Coturnix japonica: one gene and its partner. The protein of the gene in region 2 purifies or fractionates together with the protein of the main gene of each other region. This does not show direct contact. Links are inferred from orthologs where the notes say so. Each region holds a gene or a part of one and is shown on either strand. Other genes may lie near its edges. The genes, in order: AP4S1 and TEPSIN.

What was found.
Region 1: the proteins of TEPSIN (region 2) and AP4S1 purify together in Homo sapiens (co-immunoprecipitation; 3 studies listed by BioGRID and IntAct, with this or other methods). This does not show direct contact. The link is inferred for Coturnix japonica from reciprocal best matches to the Homo sapiens genes TEPSIN and AP4S1.

The regions. Positions count from the first base shown.
Region 1 is NC_029520.1:30,851,164-30,855,635, reverse strand, and holds the start of AP4S1 (AP-4 complex subunit sigma-1), read left to right. Parts: upstream 1-1,474; 5' UTR 1,475-2,642; intron 2,643-2,766; coding exon of another isoform or gene 2,767-3,081; exon of another isoform or gene 3,082-3,274; intron 3,275-3,308; exon of another isoform or gene 3,309-3,405; intron 3,406-4,472. Other genes in the region: STRN3 (striatin-3), read right to left, coding at 2,767-3,081. UniProt on the Homo sapiens protein: Component of the adaptor protein complex 4 (AP-4). Adaptor protein complexes are vesicle coat components involved both in vesicle formation and cargo selection. They control the vesicular transport of proteins in different trafficking pathways.
Region 2 is NC_029533.1:5,094,660-5,099,227, reverse strand, and holds the start of TEPSIN (AP-4 complex accessory subunit tepsin), read left to right. Parts: upstream 1-1,591; 5' UTR 1,592-1,657; coding exon 1,658-1,699; intron 1,700-1,850; coding exon 1,851-1,923; intron 1,924-2,591; coding exon 2,592-2,683; intron 2,684-2,769; coding exon 2,770-2,863; intron 2,864-3,002; coding exon 3,003-3,070; intron 3,071-3,185; coding exon 3,186-3,264; intron 3,265-3,562; coding exon 3,563-3,634; intron 3,635-3,741; coding exon 3,742-3,948; intron 3,949-4,056; coding exon 4,057-4,231; intron 4,232-4,476; coding exon 4,477-4,568. Other genes in the region: NDUFAF8 (NADH dehydrogenase [ubiquinone] 1 alpha subcomplex assembly factor 8), read right to left, coding at 495-515, 1,006-1,116, 1,204-1,284. UniProt on the Homo sapiens protein: Associates with the adapter-like complex 4 (AP-4) and may therefore play a role in vesicular trafficking of proteins at the trans-Golgi network.

The DNA of each region.
Region 1 (4,472 bases), on a different chromosome or scaffold from region 2:
ATTGTAAAGATGTGCTCCATACATGAGTACTATAAGAAATCTAAAAGTTCACTACAAGATCCAAGAAAGAAAACCAAACAAAAGCTTATGGCAGACCATACGCCCACCTGCCTTGCCCCCATTTGTAAAGAGGGCTCTTTACCAGTCACCTGAACCACAAAGGGGACAGAAGGGGAGAGATGGGAAAAATCACTCAATAATTCCCACCGGTTTAAAACTGCCAATAAAAATCCCATTGTCTGGAAAAAATCTTAAGTTCAGAGCAAGAAAATAAAACAACGTTCTGCTAAGTCATTTGGTTTTCCACATACTCTTTGTAAAGTGTTATTTGCAAAGTTATCAAGTCAACTTAGGAAGGGACCTTTAATTACTAAAGAAGGAAGAAACTACCTGCATGGGTGAGAGCTGCATCTATGAAATGTAGTTCTCATGCTTCTAGCTTCCATATTAATTACTACTGTCATGCTACCAGATTTTTTTCCTGTTCAACTCAGGAGGCTGCATTCACAGATGAACAACAGTCATAGAGGCTTCAAAGGGCAAAGCAGTTGTTTGGGGTTCAAAATGTTTTATTAGTCACAGAATAAACTGGGACTTCATTACTTGAGTTGTAGGACCAAAAAGTAATTATATGCTATAAACATACACACACATACATGAAAACCATAGGGCCTGGTTTTCATGCACGTCCTCCAAAAGAACACGCTTAACACAGTCCTATACTGAACTTAATCACTATGAAGGCTGACATCTAACATGCAAAGGAAACACACTCTCCCTGCCTCCTTCCTGATCACACTTCTATCCTGGGCTTCTGAAGTCAGCAAAAAAACAAAAAAGTTCCCCTCATACACACACACTGGGCAGGGAGCACTGCTCCTGCTTCCCATGACCTAATGCACACACACAGATAGAGTGAAGCAACACATACAAAGCCAGGATCAGAACTAGGATGGCAGATTAAGTAACAAGCAAATGAAACATTGTGGCTGTGAATGACAAACTACAGTTACATAGAAAAAAAAGCAGCAGACTTGGCAGAAACACATCACAGTATCTAGAGGCCACATGAGTTCACACCAGCACTTCCAGTCAGAGTTTTCAACATCTCAAAACTGCACCTTACATTTATAGAACGAGGTACTTCACTGTGAAGTCACAAGCCTATACACAAAACAAGTACTTCAAGATGGTCTTGCTTGATAATGAACACCACTGAGCTATTTATTTACCTATCAATACAGTACTATACTACTGAGACGCTACAGAAGATATGAGAACAAGTCCATTGCTACTGAAAATACCCACCCCATTTCCACCACAGTGATTTTAGGATCAGCTGTTCTGAAAGGTTTAAAATAGTAAATCAGGCAGTAAGTGAAATAAATAGCAAAATCTCTCTTACTATTTATTTATTTATTTTTTTCTGGGGGGAGGAGGGGGAAGGTGTGATGTTTTGTTTTCTTTTATTCTATCTCAATTCAAGCTGTAACAACAACAACCCTGCAAATTACACATGTGGTCTAAGAGTTGAAAAATCCTGAAAGAATTGTCCAGGTTTAGGTAGAGTTCTCCATTCTACAGTCTGAAGATGTACACAGACATACATCAAGATGTACACAGACGTACATCACAAACACTGGCTGCTGCTACAGCATGTTTCCACAAACTGCAGGTAAGGCGTGATTTGATGGAATGCTGCTTCAAGACTGCAAACATTCACCCAACATATAAATCATAACAAGAAACATTCTTTTTTAAACAATTTTAACTGTTATGCTTTCATAGGAGAAAAAAAAATGCACAACTTATAGACAAATGCCTCAGACTCTGTAGATTTCATAAACTGAACATAAGTTTGTGATGCGTGGCTTTATTTTTTATATGAACACGTAAATACAAGAGATCTTTTCCATTATGAAAAGCAAACATTTATGGCCAGAGATCTATGCTGGAACTCAAACACTTGCTCCCTGCCCTCTAGAGTTGTTCAATTTTTGCTCCTGACACAGAGTTTGTATTTGTAGGACAAGGATCACACTGCAGACCCATCAGCTCCTCACTATTCTTCAGCAGTTGCTTCTCCCACGTGAGGTCTCCCAAGAAACAAAAAGGAAGGAAAGAGAGCATGTGTTCGACCTGTCTCCACCGTGAGAACCCGGTCAAGTCCGTTGCTTGCGAGATTTCTCGACCCCGTTCTCAGCGTTCTCCCACCTCGGCAGGCACCGCCGCCTCCCCGCTACCCCGAAGGAGCCGCTCGCTCAGCTCCGGTGAAGCCGTATCCTTCCACGCCCGCGGGCCGCAGCTTTCCCAAAGCAGCACCCAGGGCTGAGCAGGGCCGGGCTCCGAAAGCCCCCGAGTCATTGTGCTCGGGGAGGGGACCGCAGCTGTCAGGGCGCTCCGGGCCCTGCCCCGCACGACCGATCAGCGCGCTCAGCGGCCGCCCGCCCTCCTCCGGCGTTTTGCGGCCCTCGAGGCCCGCGGAGCCGGGTTGGCTCCGGCGCCAACAGCCCAGGCGGGCGCCATGCTAAAAACCAAAATGGCTGCCCCAGGGAAGGGAGCCCAGCTCGGGCCGTGAGCGGCCGCGCCTCCGCCAGCCCCGCCGCCCGGCGACGTCGCTTCGCCGTCCGGCCCTCGCGCAGGTACCGCTCCCGTCCCGCAGCGACCGCCCCGGCCTTGGCGACCCGCCGGCCCCGCTCTCCCGTGCGGCCCCGAGACCCCGAGTCGGTCCCGGCCCCGCGCGCGGAGCCCACCCTGGGCCCGTACCTGCAGCTCGGCCCGCTCCACCTCCCAGTGCGCCCGTTCCATCTCGAAGCGGGCCCACTCGTGCTGGATGTAGTGCAGGATCCCCGGGATCGTGTAGTGCTGCGGCCGGGACAGCTCGGCGGGGCCCGCCGCCTCCTGCCCGCCCGGGGCCGCGGGGCCCTGCGGCTGCTGCTGCCCTCCGCCGCCGGCTCCGGCCCCCGCGCAGCCCCCGCCCGGCTGCAGGTTCGCGTTACCCCCGCTCTGCGGCGAGGGCTGCTGCGGCCTCGGCGCGGCCGCCATCCCGCCGCCTCCTCCGGCTCCGGGGTGCTCGTCCATTGTCTGCGGGGAGCCCTCCTTCTCGTCCCGCGGCGGGGGGCCACGAACGGGGGCCGGGGAGGGGGCGAGCGGCGCTGGCTGCGGCGGGCGGGAGGGGGCGGGCCGGGTACGGGGAGGCGGGGGGCCGCGCCGAGCGGTATCCGGGTGTCAGAGCAGCGCCCAGCCGCCGCCAGCCGCCATTACAGCCCGCCGGGCCTCGGCCCACCCACACGGGAAGGGGGAGCGGCACGGCGCGCGGGGCATGCCGGGAACTCGCTCCCCTCTCCCCTCCGCTCCTTCCTCCCGGCCCGACGAGGCGGCGGAGCGCGCATGCGCCTGGGGGAGGTGAGCGCCGTGACCTGGGGGGGGCTGCGCTGAGGGGCAGTGCGGGCTGATACTGATACTGATACTGATACTGATACTGATGATACCGATACCGATACTGCTCACTGAGCGGGCGGGGGGCGGCCGCTTTGGGAGGGGCTGTAAGGCCGCTCCGGTTGTGCCTCGCCGGGCTGTGCTGGGCGCTGCTCGGTGTGTCTCACAAGTAGGTGGTTCTAGAACAGGTTGGCTGAAAGTGCTCTGGCGGTGCCCGATCCTAATTGTATTGTAATGAAGGTCGTCTTCGTGCTGTTGTAGTTGAGGGGTTTGTGTAATGTTTCCCCTCCGTGATGGGAAGAACGAGCGCGCACATTAGCAGCAGGTTTGGTGTGCCATGGCAGCACAGCCCGGGTTGGCTGCACAGCATGGACGTGGTGAAAGCTGGGCTGCACAGCACTGCCCTGAAATGCAGCGCTACCAAGTGCCCACCACGTCCTGGTGGATCTGTAGGCCGCCCCTTCACAAATAACACACGGGTTCGGTTTTACTTCCCTAAAAATGCATATGCTGTATATATGGGTGGAACATGGATGGTGTCCTTAATGGGCTCGTTCTTGACAGTGCTGTAATTGTATTAAATGCCGAAAAATAAATCCTGCTTGTCCCAGTGCTGGCATTTCCTCTCTGCTGACCTCAGGTGCATGTTGCTGTTTCAGTTGTTTTACCAGTTCCTATCCGACTTTTCTCCATTAAGTCATTTCCTACCATCATTTCCTCAGTCTTCCCTTTTCCACACTGATCAGCCTGTCTGAATCCAACTTTTCCACCTCAGCAGATTTTTTCATTCTCCCCAGACAGTATCAAATCGTGACCAAAAATTGCCCCTTACCTCACAGTCCTCTTGGCCCTTTGTTTTACTCCAGCCCTTGAGACATTCCTCATTGCCCATTACCTTGGAAGTGCTGCAGTTTAGCTCCGTTACTATATTCAGGCAGCATGCTGACAACCGCTCTGCAAAGGAAAACTTTTTTAGCTGCTTCCTTCCTCCTTGGCTTCCCCAGATTAGTAAGGCTGCTTTTCTTAAAATTCCT
Region 2 (4,568 bases):
AGCACATTGCTCAGTGTTGGAGCCTGCAGTGTGCTTTGTCACTGGCCTTTCTATAGGAGGAGCCTTCCCTTCTCACAGTGCTGGGGCCACCCGAGGACAAGGACACGCTCCTGCCCCGTGGTGCTGCCATGCATTTGGTGACGTGGGTTTGTTGCTGAACGTCTCCGTGGCATCGTGGGTTTGTTGGCATTTGTCTCCATGAACACAGAGGACCAAAGATACCCGGCCATTCCCCAGCAGCCCAGGAGGGGCAGCGCATGGCTGTTCCTTAACAGGGACCGTCTGTAGCGGGGCTGGTGGGAGACGGAACCGTGCGGATCAATAAAATAAGCTGAAGCATTTCGATCTGATTTTAGTGCTTTAATAAACGGGTTGATGGGGAAAAGCTGCGTGGGGTGAAGGAGCCTGAGGTTGGGGTTGTAATAGAGGCCAACCCTGAGCTCCAGCTGTCAGCTCCATCACTTCGGTCACCTCCATCACCTCGGTCAGCTTCATCACTTTGCCGTCGCCGCCGCCTGCAGATTGACCTGTGTGAGCTGGTCCCGGTTCCTCCATCCCCATATTACAGAGTCACAGAATGACCCGGGTTGGAAGGGACCTCAAGGATCATGTAGTTCCAACCCCCTGCCTGGCAGGGCCACCAAACATACACCTTTACTAGATCAGGTTGCCCAGGGCCCCGTCCAACCTGGTCTTTAACACCTCCAAGGACGGGGCATCCACAACCTCCCTGTGCAGCCTGTTCCAGTTCCTAACCACTCTCATAGTGAAGAACTCCCCCCTTACATCCAACCTAAATCTTCCCTCTTTTAACTTCAAACCATTTCCCCGTGTCCTGCTATTGTCAGCCCTTTCCTGGCAGTAAGTTCCCCTCAGGTACTGACAGGCTGCACTGAGGTCACCCCTCAGCCTTCTCTTCTCCAATTGAACACACCCATCTCCCTCATCCTGTCCCCGTGGTGCCGCTGCTCCAGCCCCGTATCCCGGTCCCATATTGGTCCGTACCGCTCTATGGCAGCACTCCCGCAGCGCCCAGAACTCCCTCACACACGCGTCCCGTCGCAGCTCCGCGTTCCCGGCCGATGCCGCGGCCACGCACCGCCCGTAGGCTGCGGCCTAAAGCGGGGACAGGAAACAACCGGAGTCACCACAGCCCGACATGGCTCCCATGTGTCCCGGTGTGTGCTCCAGGCCGGGCCCCACCTGCTCCCCGCACGCCGCCAACACAGCGGGGAAGCGCCGCAGCCGCGCTCGAGCCCGGAGCCAAACGCCTCGGCCCGACATCACCTCATGCACAGGGCGCCGCCATGATGGCGGAAGAGCTGTTGGCTGCCCGCCTCTTGATAGGAGGAACGCTGCGTCTGTCAGCGCTCTGCGCGCTTGGATTGGCTGGATTGAAAATCCGGTGGTGTGGATTGGTTGCGCGCAGCACCCGCCTCCTGACCAGCTTCCTGTAGCTCTGATTGGCTAAGAGGACAGTTGTTTACTTCCTGCTACCGGCGTCAGTCCCGTAGGCCACTTCCGCCCGAAGCTCCGCCCATTCTGAGCGCTGATTGGCTGATCCTGTGAACCTCGCTCTCTCATTGGTGCTCTGCCTCTTCCTGCGGGCGGAAGTTTGAGGCCGCTCTGGGGCCGGGTGGGAGCTGAGCGGACTGTCATGGCGGCGCCGCTGCGGGACCGGCTGTGCTTCCTGAGCCGGGTACGGGCCGAGATGGGGGATGACGTCATCAGGGGGTGGACTGACGTCACCGTGGGGGGCGTGACGTCACTGATTATCCCTCGGGGTGATGGGGGGGGCGGTTCTGTGGGGCCTTTTAGGATCGCTGGGTTCTCACTGTGCCTCCTTTCAGCTGCCGGTGTTACTGCGGGGAACTGCGGACCAGGAGGAGCCGTGCCCGGGGTTTGTGTTGGAGGAGATCAGCAGTATCTGAATGGGGAGATATGGGGGGAGAGAGAGACAGCCATAACACGGGTCATGGGGACTGCAATGGGGGGAGATCCATCCAACCCTAACACATGTAATGGGGTGAGATCCATCCATCCTTAATACACATAACGGGGACAGCAATGGGGTGAGATCCAGCCATAACACATGTAATGGGCCTAATGATGGGGTGGGATCCATCCATCCCTATCACACATCATGGGCACAACAATGGGGTGAGATCCATCCATCCCTAACACATGTAATGGGCACAGCAATGGGGTGAGTGAGATCCATCCCTAATACATGTAATGGGCCTAATGGGGTGAGATCCATCCATCCCTAACACACATGTAATGGGGACAGCAGTGGGGGGAGATCCATCTATTCCTAATACACGTCATAGGCACAGCAATGGGGTGAGATTCAGCCATAACACATGTAATGGGCCTAATGATGGGGTGAGATCCATCCATCTCTTAACACACATAATGGGGACAGCAATGGGATGAGATCCATCCATCCCTAACACACGTCATGGACCTAATGATGGGGTGAGATCCATCCATCCTTAACACATGTAATGCGATGAGATCCATCCATTCCTAACACACATAATGGGGACAGCAATGGGGTGAGATCCATCCATCCTTAACACACGGCCCAGAGATCTCCCGTGAGTCAGCAGGGAGCAGTCAGTGTTTGCTGGAGTTCCTGCTGGGCCGGCTGCGCGGCGGCTCCTGCCACGTCAAGCTGAAGGTACGACATTGCTGTGGGCTGGGGGGATTGATGGAGCTGTGGGGTGGGCAGTTCACCCCAATGTTGGGCCCGTGACACCTTGTCAGGTGCTGAAGATCCTGCAGCACACGTGTGCACAGGGCTCACCGCAATTCGTGCTGCAGCTGAGGAGGAACGCTGCCTTCATTCGGGAAGCTGCAGGTAATGGGGTGTAGGAGTAGGGCAGGGGGTGGGGAGGGCTGTGTGTGGTGCTCCTGTGGCTCTATAGAACGGCCTGGTGCAGTTCTGTGCTGGCTGAGGCCGGGTTCAGCCCCAGGCTGCCTCACCTCGTGCCTTGCAGCATTCACTGGGCCCCCAGACCCCCTCCACGGCAACAGCTTGAACCAGAAGGTCCGGGCTGCTGCGCAGGTGAGTGCTGGCCCCGTGTCCTCTGTGCCTGTGCACTGCTATGGAGGCTGGAGCAGCTCCTGCTCCCCATGTCTGGTGCTCCCCAGGTCTCTCAAACATCCCTCTCTCCTGTCAGGACTTGGCCAGCTTTCTCTTCTCGGATGCTGTGCCCCCAACGGTTGCCACGTGTCCTGCCCGTCCCCTGCATCCTGCAGGTAAGTGCAGGCTGTGCTGTACCTCCAGCTCCAGTGCCTTGCAGGGGTCTGGCCCCTGTTACTGCCTGCTGGTGTGTTAGGGCTGATGTCCCACAGCTCTGCTAGTTACAGGCTGAGGGTGTTGTGTTGGACAGAGAATTGTACCCAGGGGAACAGGCTGCCATAAGTGTTCTTTTAATTGCTCTGGCTCCCTGCTCCTCCAGGCAATTCCAAAGGTTCTGCTGTGCTTTCTGAGGGAGGAACAGCAGTGACCCAAAATGCCTCTGCTCTTTCTGACTGTGCCTCATACCTCCCTTAGGCATGGGTTCCAAATCCAGTCCCTGCAGCTCCATGCAAGGATTTGGCTTCAGCAGCGAGAGAGGCAGCTCAGGTAAGTGCCATCTGAAACCCTTGCTGGGCATTGCCCTCACCCTGCATATGGGTGCTGCCCCCAGAGCCCTTGGGCTGGGCTCTCAGCTTCCTAAGGCTCTTTCCCAGCCTCAGCAGGTGAAGCCCTGCTCAGCACCATCCAGCGAGCAGCTGAAGCTGTGGCCAATGCTGTGCTTCCCTCACTGGACGGACCCCGTTCTCACTGTGGGGAGCTCCATGAAGACACCTACCAGCCTGTGACAGCTCCTTCTCCTGCCAGAAGCTTGGCCAGCTCAACCAATCCACCAGCAGCCACCACAGCTCACATTGCCCGAGGTGTTTCTCCCATTGCCTGAGCTGCCCACCCCACTGTGTTTTGGGGTTGCTTTGTCTCCTTCTGGGGCCAGTATGTCACTCCCTGGTTTGCTGTTTTTGTGCTTGCAGTGAGTCATCAACCAGGGCTGGCAGGGGGCGGCTGGGAGGAGGCAGACAGTGGGCACAGCTCCCAGAACTCCTCACAGGAGAATGGTGACCTGAGCCGCACCTCAGACACCTACAGTAAATCAGGCAGCGACAGCCACTCTGGGACCAGCCGGGAGCTGGTGAGCGGGGCTGAGAGGTAAGAATGGAGAACAAGGCATGTTTCGATTGCTCCGAGTTCTTTTGAGATGGTTTTTCCATCTGTACATTGCCCTTGTTTCCCATACTGTATTTTCCATCTCCTGGAGCTGACAGACTCTGTTCCTCTGGGGGTGTTTGTCCTCCTGGTCTGGGCAGCCCTCAGCCACATAGAGCTGACTGCAGGGACACTGTGTGCACAGGACGGAGCAGGGCTGTCTCTGTCTTCATGCTTTCCCTTTGCAGGGTGGATGCTGACAGCCTGGGTGATTGCCTGAGGGAGGTGAGCCTGGTATCAGCACTGACACAGGGAGCCAGGGTCTTCCTGACCAGGGAGG